Linked DNA regions of Lonchura striata. The protein of the gene in region 2 purifies or fractionates together with the protein of the main gene of each other region. This does not show direct contact. Links are inferred from orthologs where the notes say so. Each region holds a gene or a part of one and is shown on either strand. Other genes may lie near its edges.

What was found. Proteins that work in one complex are often made in the same cells at the same time.
Region 1: the proteins of SMAD1 (region 2) and SKI purify together in Homo sapiens (affinity purification with western blotting, with the first as the bait; 3 studies listed by BioGRID). This does not show direct contact. The link is inferred for Lonchura striata from reciprocal best matches to the Homo sapiens genes SMAD1 and SKI.

Annotation. Positions count from the first base shown.
Region 1 is NC_134626.1:2,809,834-2,817,672, forward strand, and holds the start of SKI (ski oncogene), read left to right. Parts: upstream 1-4,836; 5' UTR 4,837-5,619; exon of another isoform or gene 5,620-5,734; 5' UTR 5,735-5,744; coding exon 5,745-6,656; intron 6,657-7,839. UniProt on the Homo sapiens protein: May play a role in terminal differentiation of skeletal muscle cells but not in the determination of cells to the myogenic lineage. Functions as a repressor of TGF-beta signaling.
Region 2 is NC_134606.1:62,070,546-62,078,289, reverse strand, and holds the start of SMAD1 (mothers against decapentaplegic homolog 1), read right to left. Parts: upstream 3,010-7,744; 5' UTR 2,860-3,009; intron 1-2,859. UniProt on the Homo sapiens protein: Transcriptional modulator that plays a role in various cellular processes, including embryonic development, cell differentiation, and tissue homeostasis.

The DNA of each region.
Region 1 (7,839 bases), on a different chromosome or scaffold from region 2:
CAGGGCTTTGGAACTGGAGCAAGACTGACTGGGGGACAGATTAATCTGATTTTTAGATGCGGCATAGAGAGGCAGAGACTTGAGAAGCCACTGCCACCTTAATGCCACATGACGGCTCCCTTGGCTCCCCCTTCTCCTGCCCTGCTGCTGTTTGGTTCTGCAGAGTCTGTGGGATGTAAAAACGAGGAAGTTTTGCTGTCTTGTTACTGCAGAAGTTGGAGCTTGGTTTCTGTCCCGTCATGGCTTTTGGTTTGGAAGCTGCCACTCCAATTGCTCACTGTCTGAGTATTGCAGATACAGAAACTGAGGCACAGAGAGACTGAGCAACTTGCCCAAGGCAACAGGAAATCTGTGGGAGATCTGGGAATAGACCCCAGATGTCCGGAGTTTTCTGTCTTAACCACAAGACCATCCTTCCTGTCTCTTTGGTAGTCCCCTCTGCTTCAGGAATTCCATTTCCAAATTCCACCCATAAACAATCTTTTGCACGATCCAGTGACTTACTTGCATTAAAAAGTCGTTTGGAAGAGAAAACGGCACCTCTCTTAAAATGAACTGCAGCTACTGCTTTCTGTCCTTTCTTTCTAGGGGATGAAGGAGAGGGAGTGAAAAAAAAAGAAAAGCAACCCAGCTTCCAGAGCTGAGAAGCATTTCCATTGCTATCCAAACTTCCTGCAGGCATTAGTTTGGTTCTTTAAAAGAATCAGGAACTCCAGATGTGATGTTTGAGTTTATCTGGCCATTTGTATTTTAGTGGATTATAAAAAGGCCTGAAATTGCACTAAATGCATCTTGGGAGTGATCCTGCTGCTGGTCCCCATTGTATCCGAGTGTCTCTGGTGACAGTCTGGTCAACTGCCACAGCCCTGGGGGAATTCACTGTGTGTCTGGTGCTTCTCCCCTGTCACACAGTCAGAGCTTCTCTAAGAGGAGACTGAATGCTGGGAGGGGTTTTCATTTCTACCAAAGCACACCCTTCAGTTTGGAAATGGTGGAATGGGTGGATGTCCCTCATATTATCGAAAGAAGACTATAATTTAAAAATTATTCTTAATTAAAACCTTTTAGATTATCCTGTTACCCAGTGGGGAATATTTCTAGCCCTGCTTTCTCTTAATGTGGTAACTTGTTTAGCATCAGGAATCAACAAGGGCTGTATGGCCTAGATTGTTAAATCCCATCTTTAGACCTTGGTATTGTGGTAATATCTAAAAATCCCACTCATGGATCACCAAATCCTCATGTGATGGATTCTATAAACAGAAACTTCAAGGGTCCTTCTTGCTTCCAGTGGCTTCCTATTAAAACAATTTGGTGGAGATTCTCCAAGGGTCTTCTCTGAGCACATGAAGACACAGCTGCTGGCCTGGATCAACGTGTTTGGTTCCTGCCTCTTCTGAAGCCATTTAGCACTTTGAGGCTTGATGTCCAAGTTGGGTACGTGAGAGTGGGTTCCTCTCTGAGGAAATGCTGACTTAGGGGCAAGGTCAAAGCTCTTACACAACTCTTACACACCTTTCCCCTTTATTCTGAACAAGATTTCAGAATAGAAAAGTAGAAATAAAACACAAGAGCTTGGCGTGTGTCCTGCCCCATTACAATGAGTCTGAGTAAATCACAGCGGGTTTGTTTTCCAATTGCTCTTTTAAGCACTGTTTGGATATTTGTCTGTTTGCTCCTCCTCTTTTGTCCTGATGTGTTTTTTCTGCTGTTCCACTGCCATGAACTCTTCCAGAGGAGACTGTCCAAAATTCAATGTCTGTGTCTCTCAGTCACACTCTATGGATGAGCAGGGCTTAAAGTCTTTGTTGAATTTCAAACACGATTAACAGTTGTGCTGGTGTGTGAAAGTGCTCCTTAGCCCTTTTTGGCACACAGTTGACAGAGCTCTGAGATAACAGTGGAAACCTTTTCAGCTTGTTCCTTAATCGTGATGCTAAGATTGAAATGTTTGTTTGACTTCTGGGTGTGCAGTCCATAGAAAATGGGAGAATACACAGGATTTTTGCTTTGAAATTTGTTATTAATAAAAAGCAAAAGCATCTCACTCCTGACCTGAATAATAAATCCATAATGGAGTTTGCAGTGCTGCTGGGCAGTGGGTGCCCATGCCTAGTCATTTGGTGTCTGTGCTGTGGTCAGTTGGTGTCCATGCCCTGGGCATTGGATGTCCGTGCCATGGGCACTTGGTGTCCATGCCCTGGGTGTCTGTGCCATGGTTACTGTGTGCCCATGCTGTGGACAGTGAAGATCCATGCAATGGGGAGTGGGGATCTGTGCCATGGTCAGTGGTGTCCTTGCTATGGTCCGTGGTGAGTGATGTCCATGCCATGGTCAATGACTGTGCAATGGGCAGTGTATGTCCGTGCTATGGCCAGTGTGTGACCATGCTAGGGGCAGTGGATATGTCAGTGCCCCAAGCAGTAGGTGTCCATGCCATGGTCAATGACTGTGCCATGGTCAGTGACTGTCCGTGCCCTGGTCAGTGGTCAGTGACTGTCCATGCCCTGGTCAGTGACTGTCTGTGCCATGTGCTGTGTGTGTCCATGCCCTGGTCAGTGATTGTCTGTGCCATGTGCTTTGTATGTCCATGTCCTGGTCAGTGGTCTGTGACTGTCCTTGCCCTGCTCAGTGGTCAGTGACTGTCCATACCCTGCTCAGTGGTCAGTGGTGTCCGTGCCCTGATCAGTGGTCAGTGACTGTCCGTGCCCTGCTCAGTGGTCAGTGACTGTCCGTGCCCTGCTCAGTGGTCAGTGACTGTCCATACCCTGCTCAGTGGTCAGTGACTGTCCGTGCCCTGCTCAGTGGTCAGTGGTGCCCGTGCCCTGCTCAGTGGTCAGTGACTGTCCATACCCTGCTCAGTGGTCAGTGACTGTCCGTGCCCTGCTCAGTGGTCAGTGGTGCCCGTGCCCTGCTCAGTGGTCAGTGACTGTCCACACCCTGCTCAGTGGTCAGTTGGTGCCCGTGCCCTGCTCAGTGGTCAGTGGTGTCCGTGCCCTGCTCAGTGGTCAGTGGTGCCTGTGCTCTGCTCAGTGGTCAGTGGTGTCCGTGCCCTGCTCAGTGGTCAGTGACTGTCCGTGCCCTGCTCAGTGGTCAGTGGTGTCCGTGCCCTGCTCAGTGGTCAGTGGTGCCTGTGCTCTGCTCAGTGGTCAGTGACTGTCCATGCCCTGCTCAGTGGTCAGTGGTGCCCGTGCCCTGCTCAGTGGTCAGTGACTGTCCGTGCCCTGCTCAGTGGTCAGTGACTGTCCGTGCCCTGTCAGTGGTCAGTTGGTGCCCGTGCCCTGTCAGTGGTCAGTGACTGTCCATGCCCTGCTCAGTGGTCAGTGACTGTCCATACCCTGCTCAGTGGTCAGTGACTGTCCATACCCTGCTCAGTGGTCAGTGACTGTCCGTGCCCTGCTCAGTGGTCAGTGGTGTCCGTGCCCTGCTCAGTGGTCAGTGACTGTCCGTGCCCTGCTCAGTGGTCAGTGGTGTCCGTGCCCTGCTCAGTGGTCAGTGGTGCCTGTGCTCTGCTCAGTGGTCAGTGGTGCCCGTGCCCTGCTCAGTGGTCAGTGACTGTCCGTGCCCTGCTCAGTGGTCAGTGACTGTCCGTGCCCTGTCAGTGGTCAGTTGGTGCCCGTGCCCTGTCAGTGGTCAGTGACTGTCCGTGCCCTGCTCAGTGGTCAGTGGTGTCCGTGCCCTGCTCAGTGGTCAGTGGTGTCCGTGCCCTGCTCAGTGGTCAGTGGTGTCCGTGCCGCGGCCGCGGTTGCGCGGGGCGGTCGCGGTGATCTCTCATCGGTCGGTAGAGGGCGCCCGTCCCCGCTGTGCGGGGGGCGCTCGGTGCCCCGGACACTCCGGACACGCCGGACACACCGGACACACCGGACAGCCCCGGACACACCGGACAGCCCCGGACACACCGGACAGCCCCGGCCCCGCGGGTGGGAGCCCAGGAGCCGACCCGCCTGTGTGCCACCAGCGTGGTCTTAGTGCTGCCTCCGCCTTCCTGCTCCAGCGGGGGCTCGGACAGCCCCAGCCCCTTCCCACCCGCGCTGCGGTTGCGCCTCTCACGCCTCTTCCACGCGTTGAGCGTCGCCTGTGGGTGGAAGGAGCGTGTGACGTGTGCCGGGAGCGGGGAACACATGTGTGTCGGAGCAAGGGAGCATACGTGTGCCGGGACAGGGACGCACACGTGTGTCTCTCGCCTGTAGCGCTCAGTGGGTTGGGGGCTCCGGTGGCGCCCCGAGGATGCGCTCTGGTCCCGCGCGGTTGTCGCCCATCAGTTGCGCTCTCACGCCTGAGATTGCTGTCGGCGCGGGGCGTGTGCCCGCAGTTGACGCCGGGCAGGGCGCCGTGAGTGCCCGTGTGAGCCCGACCAGAGCCGCTCCCGCGCCTGTTCCGTTTCACGGCTGCCAGAAACGCAGCGGCGAGAGGGGAAAAGCCCTCGCCCTACCGCCCCTCCTCGGCGGCGCGGCGGTCCGTGAACCCAGCAGTTTATCCTCCGCCCGCTCCCTCCCTCCCTCGCCGGCGCTGCCGCCGGGGCCGCGCGCCCGCCCGCCCGTGCAGCGGCTCGGCCCGGTTCGGCCGAGCTCGGCACGGCTCGGCTCGGCTCGGCGCGGCACATCCCAGCTCGGCTCGGCTCGGCTCAGCACGGCACATCCCAGCTCGGTTCGGCTCGGCCGGGCTTCGATCAGCTCGGTTGTGCTCGGCGCGGCCGGGCTCGCTTGGAGTGGCTCGGCTTGGCCCGGCTCGGCTCGGCTCGGCTGATCCCGGCACATCCCGGCCGGTCTGGGCGCAGCGCGAAGCGGGAGGCGGGCGCTGTTCCTGGAAGAGCCCGGCCCGGGGAGTTGGTCACATTCTTGGCCGGGATTCAATGACTGAGGCAGACACCAACAAACACAGGGGGGAGGCGGAGGGCGGGCGGCTGAGCCCGCCTGCATTAGCTCAGCTCTCAGGCACTCTCAGTCACTGCTGGAAAGAGGAGCTGGGAGGATGTGCGCGCTCTCACCGCGGCTCCCCACGGCACAACGAGAGCACCGGCAGAAATAAGGGCAGGAAGGCGAACCGAGAGCCGAGGAGCCCTCCCAGGCCGAGCGGACGGACCACGAGGGGCAGCGGAGCCGCTCCTCGCCCGTGCGGAGCCGCCGCGCCGCTTCGGCAGTGCCGGAGATCTGGGCCTTTTCTCCTGCCTTGTTCCTTCCACAGACCGAGCGTGCTGCCTCCTCCTGCTTTTTACTTTCCTCCCCCGCGCCTTCCCTCGGTGGATATGGACAGAAGGGGGATCACTGCAGAGAAGCAGCAGCCGCCAGAACATATTTGAGCCCGGGTGCTCGGAGCGTGGCACAGACTTTTTGTGTTTCTGTGGGTGGTGTGTGTGTGTGTGTGTGTGTGAGTGAGTGTGTGTTGGAGGTGTGGGAGGAGGGATTGGTTTGCCTGGGGGTTGGCTGAGGGGGTGAGTGCTCGGATGAAGACCTCTTTTTGCCGTGATTCTGTGCTCCATCGGGGCAGCTTGGAGACTTGGAGGGTTTGAAATTGTAACGTGAAGCAAGAGAAGAGAAAGAAGAGAGAGACACGCATACAAAAGGATTTATTTCCTCTCCGTTAGTGGATTGCTGAGTGAGAAGGAGGAAAAACACAAGGGTGGGTTGTTTTATTTTGTTAATATTTTTTCCTAAAAAAAAAAAAAAATCCCTTAAGTGGATTTGCATCAGGGTGGAAGATAACTGGGGATTTTTGCTATTTGTTTTGGGAATAGAAACTAAAAAATGGAGACTGTAAGTAGAAGCAGCTTCCAGCCTCATCCAGGACTGCAGAAGACCTTGGAACAGTTTCATCTGAGCTCTATGAGCTCCCTGGGTGGCCCTGCTGCTTTCTCAGCACGATGGGCACAGGAGATGTACAAGAAAGACAATGGCAAAGACCCAGCGGAACCTGTACTGCATCTGCCCCCGATCCAGCCTCCTCCGGTCATGCCTGGTCCCTTCTTCATGCCCTCGGACAGATCCACGGAGAGGTGCGAGACCATCCTGGAAGGGGAAACCATCTCCTGCTTCGTGGTGGGCGGAGAGAAGCGGCTTTGCTTGCCCCAGATCCTGAACTCGGTGCTCAGGGACTTCTCCCTGCAGCAGATTAATTCGGTGTGTGATGAGCTACATATTTACTGCTCCAGATGCACTGCTGACCAGCTGGAAATCCTCAAAGTCATGGGCATCCTGCCCTTCTCCGCTCCTTCCTGCGGGCTCATCACGAAAACTGATGCTGAGAGGCTTTGTAACGCCTTGCTTTATGGTGGCACCTATCCTCCCCACTGCAAGAAGGAATTCTCTAGCACAATTGAGCTGGAGCTCACGGAGAAGAGCTTCAAGGTGTATCATGAGTGCTTTGGGAAGTGCAAGGGACTCCTGGTGCCAGAGCTTTACAGTAACCCCAGCGCAGCCTGCATCCAGTGCTTGGACTGCAGGCTCATGTACCCACCTCACAAATTTGTGGTCCATTCTCACAAATCGCTGGAAAACAGGACTTGCCACTGGGGCTTTGACTCTGCAAACTGGAGATCCTATATCCTCCTCAGCCAGGATTATACTGGGAAAGAGGAGAAAGCTAGACTGGGCCAGCTCTTAGATGAAATGAAAGAAAAATTTGACTATAACAACAAATACAAGAGGAAAGCCCCTCGGGTAAGTGGTGCCTGTGATTTTAAAGGGGGCGGGGGGAATTTCTGTAACATTCATCGATATACCCAAATTGTTACCAGCTGCTTTTCCTTGGAGTCATTTAGCAATTTTAATCGTGTTCTCCATTCTCTCCGCGTGTGTGTCACTGTGGAGGAGCAGTGCTCGAGATGGCACCTTTATTTCTCTGGTTGTTTTCTGACCACGGTGCTTGGAGTTTGTTTAAATTATGTGTGTGTGGTTGTATGTTTTACTATGTGTGGACCTTGATCTTTGAAGCCCATCACACTGCCCCAGACTTTATCTGGCATTGCGTGATTTCGGGTCTTTAAGGGCTTCTTCACTCAGGGGTCAAGGCAAGGAAGAAGCCAGAAAAAGGGAGCAGGTACTGATGCTCCAGACACAAGTCCATGCACTTTTCTGGTCGATTGAGTGTCGCCAGGGATGGAGGTGCGGGCTGAATGCTCTAAATGCTCGAATGGAAATAAAATGTGCCTGTTAAGAAAAAAAAATAAATTGTGCCGGTAGTGCAGGTTAGTGGTTTATAGATGAAGTGTTCAGAACGTGAATGGAGAAGTCCCTGCTTTTAGAGTATCCCTATGGAGCTTAGATTTGCCCAGCAGACAGGCTTTTGTATATTGGATTATGTATACATCCAGCAAATGCCTGTGTCTAGGGCCAGCTGCAGCAGCTCCTGAAGGTGTTCCATGCCGTGCTGTGCTGAGCCAGCCAGCCAAATCGCTTTTTTTTTTAGATGCCACTTGTTTTTATTTCAGTCTGAGCTGCCTTTAGATCCCAGAATCCCTGGTGTGTGGGTGGGAGGCTGCCTTGGCATCTGGCACCGGTCCTGCTCCATGGGCAGCAGTGCCACAAGGCCCTGGGGACTCGCAGACACCGGGATGTCTGGCTGGCTGGGGATGAGCAATTCTGCTTCCTGCTCCTTCCCCCCGGTGCGAGGGGAAAACAAACTCCTGCCTCCCCAGTTCTCCCCTGCAGGTTTGTTGGTTGGGCTCTGCCTCACTGTCAGAGATTTCCAAACTTTGGGGTTTTGTGTCTGGAGTGGAAGGGCAATACACAAGCCTGGAAAAGAAAAAGTGTTTAAAACCCACTATGAAAATTCTGAATTAATTTACCAAATACTTGTTTAAAGGGGCAGACACACACTCTGACTAAGATAGAGCTTTTATTT
Region 2 (7,744 bases):
AAGTCTAGCTGAGCCTTAAAAAAAGGATATATAAATATCAGAGATTCATTCACAGCCACTTCCCCACTCATACATCCCGTAGCTGCATATTCCTTCATCTATTTCAGCTCCTAATGACTGCAAGGAAGAGGTTGAGAGTCAACCTAAATTGGTTCAGCTTTTACTCTTCACAGGGCACAAACTTTAATTTCAACTACTCTTTACATAATTTAAATAATACACACGGTGCTCTCTTTATTTGATTCTCAAACCAGCTGTATCTCAAGCACAATGGGACATGTCACCGACACTTGCTTTGCTGCCCTCATAATATGGTTTAATTATGATGACTGAACTAACAGGCTCACATCATAGACTTTTACAGGTTGACCCTGTGTCATCCTGATGTATCATTTTGCACCAGTTCAGTGCTGTAAATCAATTTAAGATCTCCAGCAGGTTGAAAAGGCTGGTAATGATGCTTTCTCTGCAGTCTCTGGGGACTCCACATTATACACAACTTACATTATTTATAAAGCTGAGATGATGCCTCCATTAGGCCTGTAAGACTACTCAAATGATATTTTACGCACACAGCTTGGGCTGCACAGAGCAGAATACTGGCAATATGTAATATCCAGTGCATTCATGCTTTAATTTAAAGAAAAATAACCAAAACAGTCATAACCCCTTCATTTTTAAAATTTAAATCTTTATAGCAAGCAAAGAAATTAACAGTTTAATCTGAATAATTTTCTAGTACTCAGAAACACAAGTAGCACTTTTATTAACCTTTGTATTGTTTTTCTTCATGTTCACCTATTCTGTTTTCAAACTACAGAGGAAAAACAAACACCAAACTCATCAGTTTCAAATAGTTGATTTGATAGTTACTATTTATATGAAAACAGAAAGATCTCCATCTGTTTACTCAGTCACTTGTCTCAAATGTATCAGATCATCACATCTTCAAGGGTACACAAAAAAGCAAGTTGAACAGAACAGAATAGGAAAAAAATGTATTTGATTACATACCCAATGGTAATGGGGTCAAAACAGATGCAAGGACAAATCCCTACCCTTAGGGTAACCTGATCAGCCTTGAACTGATCATTTCTCATAGCTGTGGAAGGCTTCTGGATCACCCAAATCAAGGGAAATTTCTCTCAAGTGCCTACTTACAGTCTGAAGTAAATTGCAAGACTTCAGCCCTAAGACCACAGCAAGGACTCCCAAAAGGGCCAGATCACTCTCATTTTCATACTGATGTTCTTTCAGTCATAACAGAGAAGTAAGCACCCAAACCCTGCACTAAAATCCAATGGGAACCTTGAAAAACCTTCATAGCACTGCTCTCTGGTTTAAGGGGGAAATTAAATACTAATCAGCTGCAACTAAAAACTCACGTCCCATAATTCAGCCAAATCATTACTCACAAGTAAAAGAAAAAAATAAGCCAAACTTATGTTCCCTCACATGATTTGCTCCTATTGTTTGACATGACAAGGTGCATACAGTCAGCCACATGAAGAATTACAGACACACACCTGCAAAGAAAAGTGTTCTCTGTGGGCTGGGTAAGCTACTGTTTTTAATCTTACTCCTGAATGCTGCTTGAAAATACATATAATTATTGGAAGAAAAAATTTTAAACAAGTTTTTTTTTCTGACTTCCCCTCTGTGTGCAAAACAGATTCAAACTATCAGCTATGACCGCTCTTTCCTAAGAAGCATGTTAGTTTTAAGGTGCAATATCTTTGAACACTGACATCCATTAAACACTGACATGTTTCAGGCAATGATCTTTTCCATTTGCCTGTATCTGAAATACACATTTACTTTTACTCCTCCCCATCTGGCTCTAACAATACAGTTTTCATTAAGCTCTGTTGAAAATACTTCCCCAAATAAAACTGTAGACACGCAGTGAGCATCATGTTATCCTAAAGTACACCAAAAAAATGATTAATTTTCAGAATAAGCTGTTGTTATCCAGATACTGTAAAAGCAAACTGTAAGGTCGGACTGTGTACCTTCTTCAGATTGATCTTCTAACAAAAGAGCAATCACAGCAACCCTGCCTCGGTCAGAACTCTCTCTGACTTCAGTTTATATTAAAAAAAAAAAAAAAAAAAGTCAGTATTTGGCCCAGATCATTTTGAACGCATGACTGAATATTTCCATGCCAGTAAATTTTAATAAGCTTTAAAGATCTATATTCAGGATAAGATTATTTGGCTGTACAAGTATATGAAGCAACTATACTGAAGAGGGGGAAAATCTCAAGCATCCAAACCCTCTAACAGGGAAAAGAAAAAAAAAAAGTGAACTTTCCTTGACCTCTAAGCGCAGATTTGTCATTAAAGAAGAAAGAAGGGGACGGGAGGGAAAAAAAAGCAGGAGGGGAAGGGGCTGCGGAAAGAAAGGAAGGGAGAAAAAAGAAGAAAGAAGATAAATTAGAGGGAGAGGGACGCGGCCGGGCCGCGGCGGGAGGCGAAGGGCTGCTCCCGCACACACAAAGGCGGCCCCTGCCCCGGCTCCGCCGCGTCCCCGCGATGGGGCCGGGGCCGGGGCCGGGGAGGAGCCGCAGGACGGCGCTTCCCGGCAGGGAAGGGCTCTGCCGCCCGCCGGGCCCGGCGCGGCACCTACCCACCAACTCGGAGCCGGGAGCGGTCCCCGCCGGGCCGCCATCATGCCGGGAGGCGAGCGGGAGCACCGCTGCCCGGAGCCGCTCCCGCCGCGCCGCACGGCCCCGCCGCCGGGAACACCACCGCAAGGACCGCGGAGGAGGAGGAGGAGGAGGGGAGGATGCGCGGGCACAGCCGCCCGGCCTCGGGGACAGTGAGCGGGGAGAGGTGCGGGGGAACGCGAAGTTGTTACCGGCTGGCGGGCGGTGACGGGCGGCCAGCAGGCAGCTCCTCCGCGCCGGAATCGGGATCGGGATCGGGATGGATGTGGCCCGGCCGGCGTCAGGCGGCCGGAGCCGCCCCGCGCCGCTCACCGGCACACTCACACACACACTCGCATACACACACGCACCGGCCCGGCCAGGGATCCTCCCCAAATTCCCGCCCCCGCCGCCGCGCCGCCGGGTCCCGCTGGGAGCGCTGCGCCCGCCGCCGGAGAGCGGCCGCGGCACGGCACGGCACGGCCCCGCACGGCACGGCACGGCACGGCCGCTGTGTGCCCTAGCCCGACCCTCGCCCCGGCTGTGAGCCCCCTCCGACACCGTCACTGGGGCTTAGGAGGCGTTTCTGCCCCGCCGGAGCGGCCGGGGAGCTCCGGCAGCGGGGCTTCGGGGACAGCGGAGGATGCTGTCGGACTTGGAGTTAAAGTCCATTCCTGACGGAACAGGATTATGTCCTGCCGCTTGCTACAGGTGATTCAGGCTTGACTTGGTCTAGTCTTAATACTGAAATAATTGCTGTAATACCTCCCAATGACAGAGCACTCTCTAACCCCAGGTGTTTTACACGTGGACATTCTCCTGCCCGTAGGTATTGCTGCACTTAGTCCTCATTCATGCGAGTAAAGCTATTACAGTGCTGGAGGCTTCTTGTGCAGTCAGAGCCACAGTAATGAAGCCTCAAGTCGCTGTCCCTGGGACTTGAAGTCCATTTGGATCTGCAAGTGTCGGCTCCAAAGTGGAACTGACTGAAAGTTTGGAGCTCACATGTGGAATGGCAAGCCTCTCCTGCCCGCTCACAGGATCTTTACAGTAGTCAGGTAAGTGTTGCGCAAGCAAGATTGAACTGAAACTGATTCTTTGGCTTTTACCCAGTCATCGTTCCTGGAAGGAGATTTCAAGCAACAAGTGCAAGATGTTCCTACGTGGCAAAATATTCTGATATGCCTATACACATAATTGTACCCCTAGACTTAGGCCAGTAAATTTTGACATGTATAGACAGTTCTGGTATGACTTTAAACTAATTTTAAAGTCCAGGAACACTGAGGCCTGGAGGACTTAAGGCCCTGAGAGTTTTACCAGATGAACAGTTGTCCTGCCCACCCAAGTGCATTGTGAGTCTGAAGACACAGAAGTGGAATGGCTTGCCCAAGATCACAGAAGGAGCACAACAGCAGCAGTAAAAAATACCCAGGTCTATGCCTGTGAAGGTATCAGCGCTTCTTTCTAACTTCATAATCTAAAATTCATCCATTTCATTGCCACATATGCCACATAAATACCACATATATTGCAAACAGGTGAATTGTACAATTTTGTTAGGGATTATGCTACAATAATAGTAGAGGAACTCCCACACAGGATGATGCCATAATATTGATGGGGAAAGCCTGGAATAAAATTACTCTTTTACTGCTTAAATTTTGAACCTTGAATGATTCAAGATGAGTGAACTTTGGTAATCAGCTTTAATGTGTATTTTGTGCTTGCACTGTACACAACTACACTTAGCAAGTAAACTTCTTTCTATGTGCAATCACAGATATAGTGCAGCACTGGACTGCAAATACAACTGGTGGAGTTTATCTCAAGACAAACTGAATGGTCTTTAAAGTTTGGCAGTGTAATGAAGGCATTTGCGAGTAAAGTACAGGAGAAACATGAAACTGATATCTGGTTTTTGTACTGTGGTAGTGTCCTGGATCAAGAGTAGTGGATGCAGCAGTAGTACCTGCCCAAGAGCTTGGCAGTCTCAGTGATCCAGTCTCACACAGAGAAAAACATGGAAAAGGCCTTTCATGTGCTTGAGCTCTGCTGTAATGTGCTCTGCAGGCTGACTTCGTGGGCACAAGCTCCATCCACTGGATCCTGGTTGCTGAAGTATCAATTCATGATTCACACTAAACAGATATGACAAGGAGATAATTAGGGAAGCACTGCAGTTTGTCAGGTGTCTTGTTAGAACCACATTTTTACTGCTTTTGTTGTTGTTGTTAGGGTTGACCGGTTGGTTGGCTTTGGCATGAGAGAATTAAATTATTTTCTACTTACATTGAGGCTTGGGGAGGATCACATTAATATGCTGCTTTCCTTAAAAAAGGCTATGAAACAGCCTAGGAGAGTCTTTCTCTGATGTTTAATAACCAGAGTGGTTGTCCTGGAGGGGGCTGGGTAGCCTGGCTTCAGACAGAGCAGTGGTGTGAGAAGACCAGGGGAAAAGGCAGAAACAGTGTGCCCTGGTCAGATCTTCCTCAAGGCTTCCCTGCCTGGGCTGTTCTGGCACACTAGCCAGAATAAAACTTCAAGTCTGCCCCCTGCTTTAGGATGTGCAGGTGGAGCTGACTGTCCAAACCCATTACTCTGTGGGTGAGCAGCATCAGCAGTGTCTTACTGCACACTCACCACTTCTAAATCCACTGGCTAATTTAATACCCTGAATCATTAACTTCTTCCTGCCTTTTCTGAATAACATTAGAAAACTGAAAAAAGGAAATCAGAGAGGTATGTACACCTGGGTATCAACCTTGATGCTCCTCTGCACTGGGCTGAATAACTGTGCTATCTCAAGAGGCAACAGAGAATAGGTTTTTTCTCTTTTTGCTCTGCAGCTACATGATCATTCAGACTAGTGCAAGGAAAATAGGCCGTGAGGCTGGGGCAATGAAGAAAGAGAAGAACCATTCCGTCTGTAAACTGCCTGTCTTTTCATCAGATTAGGTGCACAATCTGATGGCACCATCAGTCATAAGGCCTGTGGACCTGAATTTTAATGGAGTAGGGGCACTTACACAGATAAATGTCTATTATGATTCTCAAAGGAAACTTTAATCTCACAGACACTTTCTAGCATCTCACCAAGCACCTGCCCAATCAGCTTTAAAATCTGTGTCTCGGAAACTGATTATCAGAAGGCTGAGTTCTAAAAGACATTCATTATGCTGCATATTTTAGACTATTCTATTATGTAACAAGCATTTAAGAAATACTACTACTACTACTAATACTGTGGCTACAACAACTATTGGCTTTTGATCTTCCTCCAAAATCCAATTTTGTATGTAGGTTATGATTTGGTATTTCTTGTTAACTTCAGCCAGGCTTCATCTGGCTTAATCAAGAAGTTCCAGGGATAGTGACTGTCTTCTGGAGACAGTTTAGCTCCAAAGTCAGTAACTTTGCTTTACCTTCATGTACACTAGGTTTCTGCCAGAAATTAGGAGTTTCATGGATAATTAAATAATTAAATTATATCAAACAGACAACTTATTATTTACATTAAAATCACTGGAGTAATTTTCTTTTCAGCCATTACACTTTTTGTTGCCTAGTGTGGGAAAATACCAACAATATTTTCAGAGAGAAGAGGCAGCTCTCTCAAGAAGAATAATAGCTTCCTAAGGATACTGGATTTCATTATTTCCTTCTTTCTTGGGCTGGGTGACAAAATGTATCACCCTCTATCCTTCATGGCTTCTCTGCTTTGTCTTTGAGTAGGCGAGGTATTAAACAAGACTCCTACCTCAGCATTATTAACATAGGATATGCAGACGGCTTAGCAACTGCATAGATCTATTTGGGAACAGTGCCTCAGGCAGAAGACAGCATGTGAGAGAAGGTAAGGAGCATTTTTAGGAGGTCATCATAACTGTGCAGCACTGCATATGGTTTTCCAAGTCCATCTGGATACAAGGTCCTGTATAGCCACAGTACAAGCCCAGGAAATAAGGAACTAAGTTGTAAAAGGCCTTGAAGGCAACACTTGAGGGCTCTCTGTAGTCTTGCTCTGGGAGTCTGGCCATTTTCTAGAATGAGCCCTGCATGAGTTTGACTCTATAGAGAGTCAAATACCTGCTTGGGACCTGCCTTAGTATTGTGACTCACTGTCATAGGCAAAAGAACAAAGAATTCATTTCACTCTCAGAAGTTCTTCCTAAACTGGCCCACTATGATTAAGTGGGATTCATATAGAATAAATGTGGAACTTGATAATTTTACAAGGTTATTATGTGTATACCTCTGTTATATTAAATAAGGCTTCTGCCATAAATCTATCTGCAGATACCAGAAAGGTTTTTGATCAGATTGAGTAGTCATTCATCTTTTCCACCCATTGGGATGATGGGAATCAGACCTAAATTCATTACTTTCTTAAGATTAATGTGCCCAGCTAAAGCTGCCAAGATCCTTATTAAAAGTTACAATTCCAAAAGGTTTGGGTTGAAATAAAGTATTAAGCAGGGCACTCCCTTATCTCCATTATTGGTTGTTTTCTCATCAGACTCTGATGCAAGGACTTTCCTCCAGCAATGTTACTTTTCTGGTAAAGAAGGGAGATTGCCCTCTGTTCTGACAGCTCATCACGTGCATCCACGAAGGACAGCATTCCTGTTCACTGCATTGCACCAGTACTGTACTTTATAGAGAATGGAATTCTCTCTTTGGATCTTGCCTGAATCAACATAGAAGCTTTTGAAAGTAGTTTCACTTTCTCCTGGCTATCACCTCATCAAGGGATAATGGACTCGGTGCAATCAAACATTATTGGTTCTTTGAAAATTAAATTTCTCTTCAGTCATTCAGCTTAAAAAGATTTACATAACTGGAATAACCTAGCTCTGTTGCTGGTTTCTTGGAAGACACCGCTAAGATTAATCTTATCTCCCACTTTAATTACTGTTTTCAAGTTCTTACAGTCCTTGTCCCAGTTACATCTTGTTGCGAAAACCACCAGAGAATGATATATTAAAATTTATTCAGGCAGGTGGCAGAGACAAAATTAAAGATAATAACTCTATGAGAAAAGAAATCAAAGGTGGTTTGGCAATCCTGAGGTGTTATTTCTTGGTCCCTCAGTTG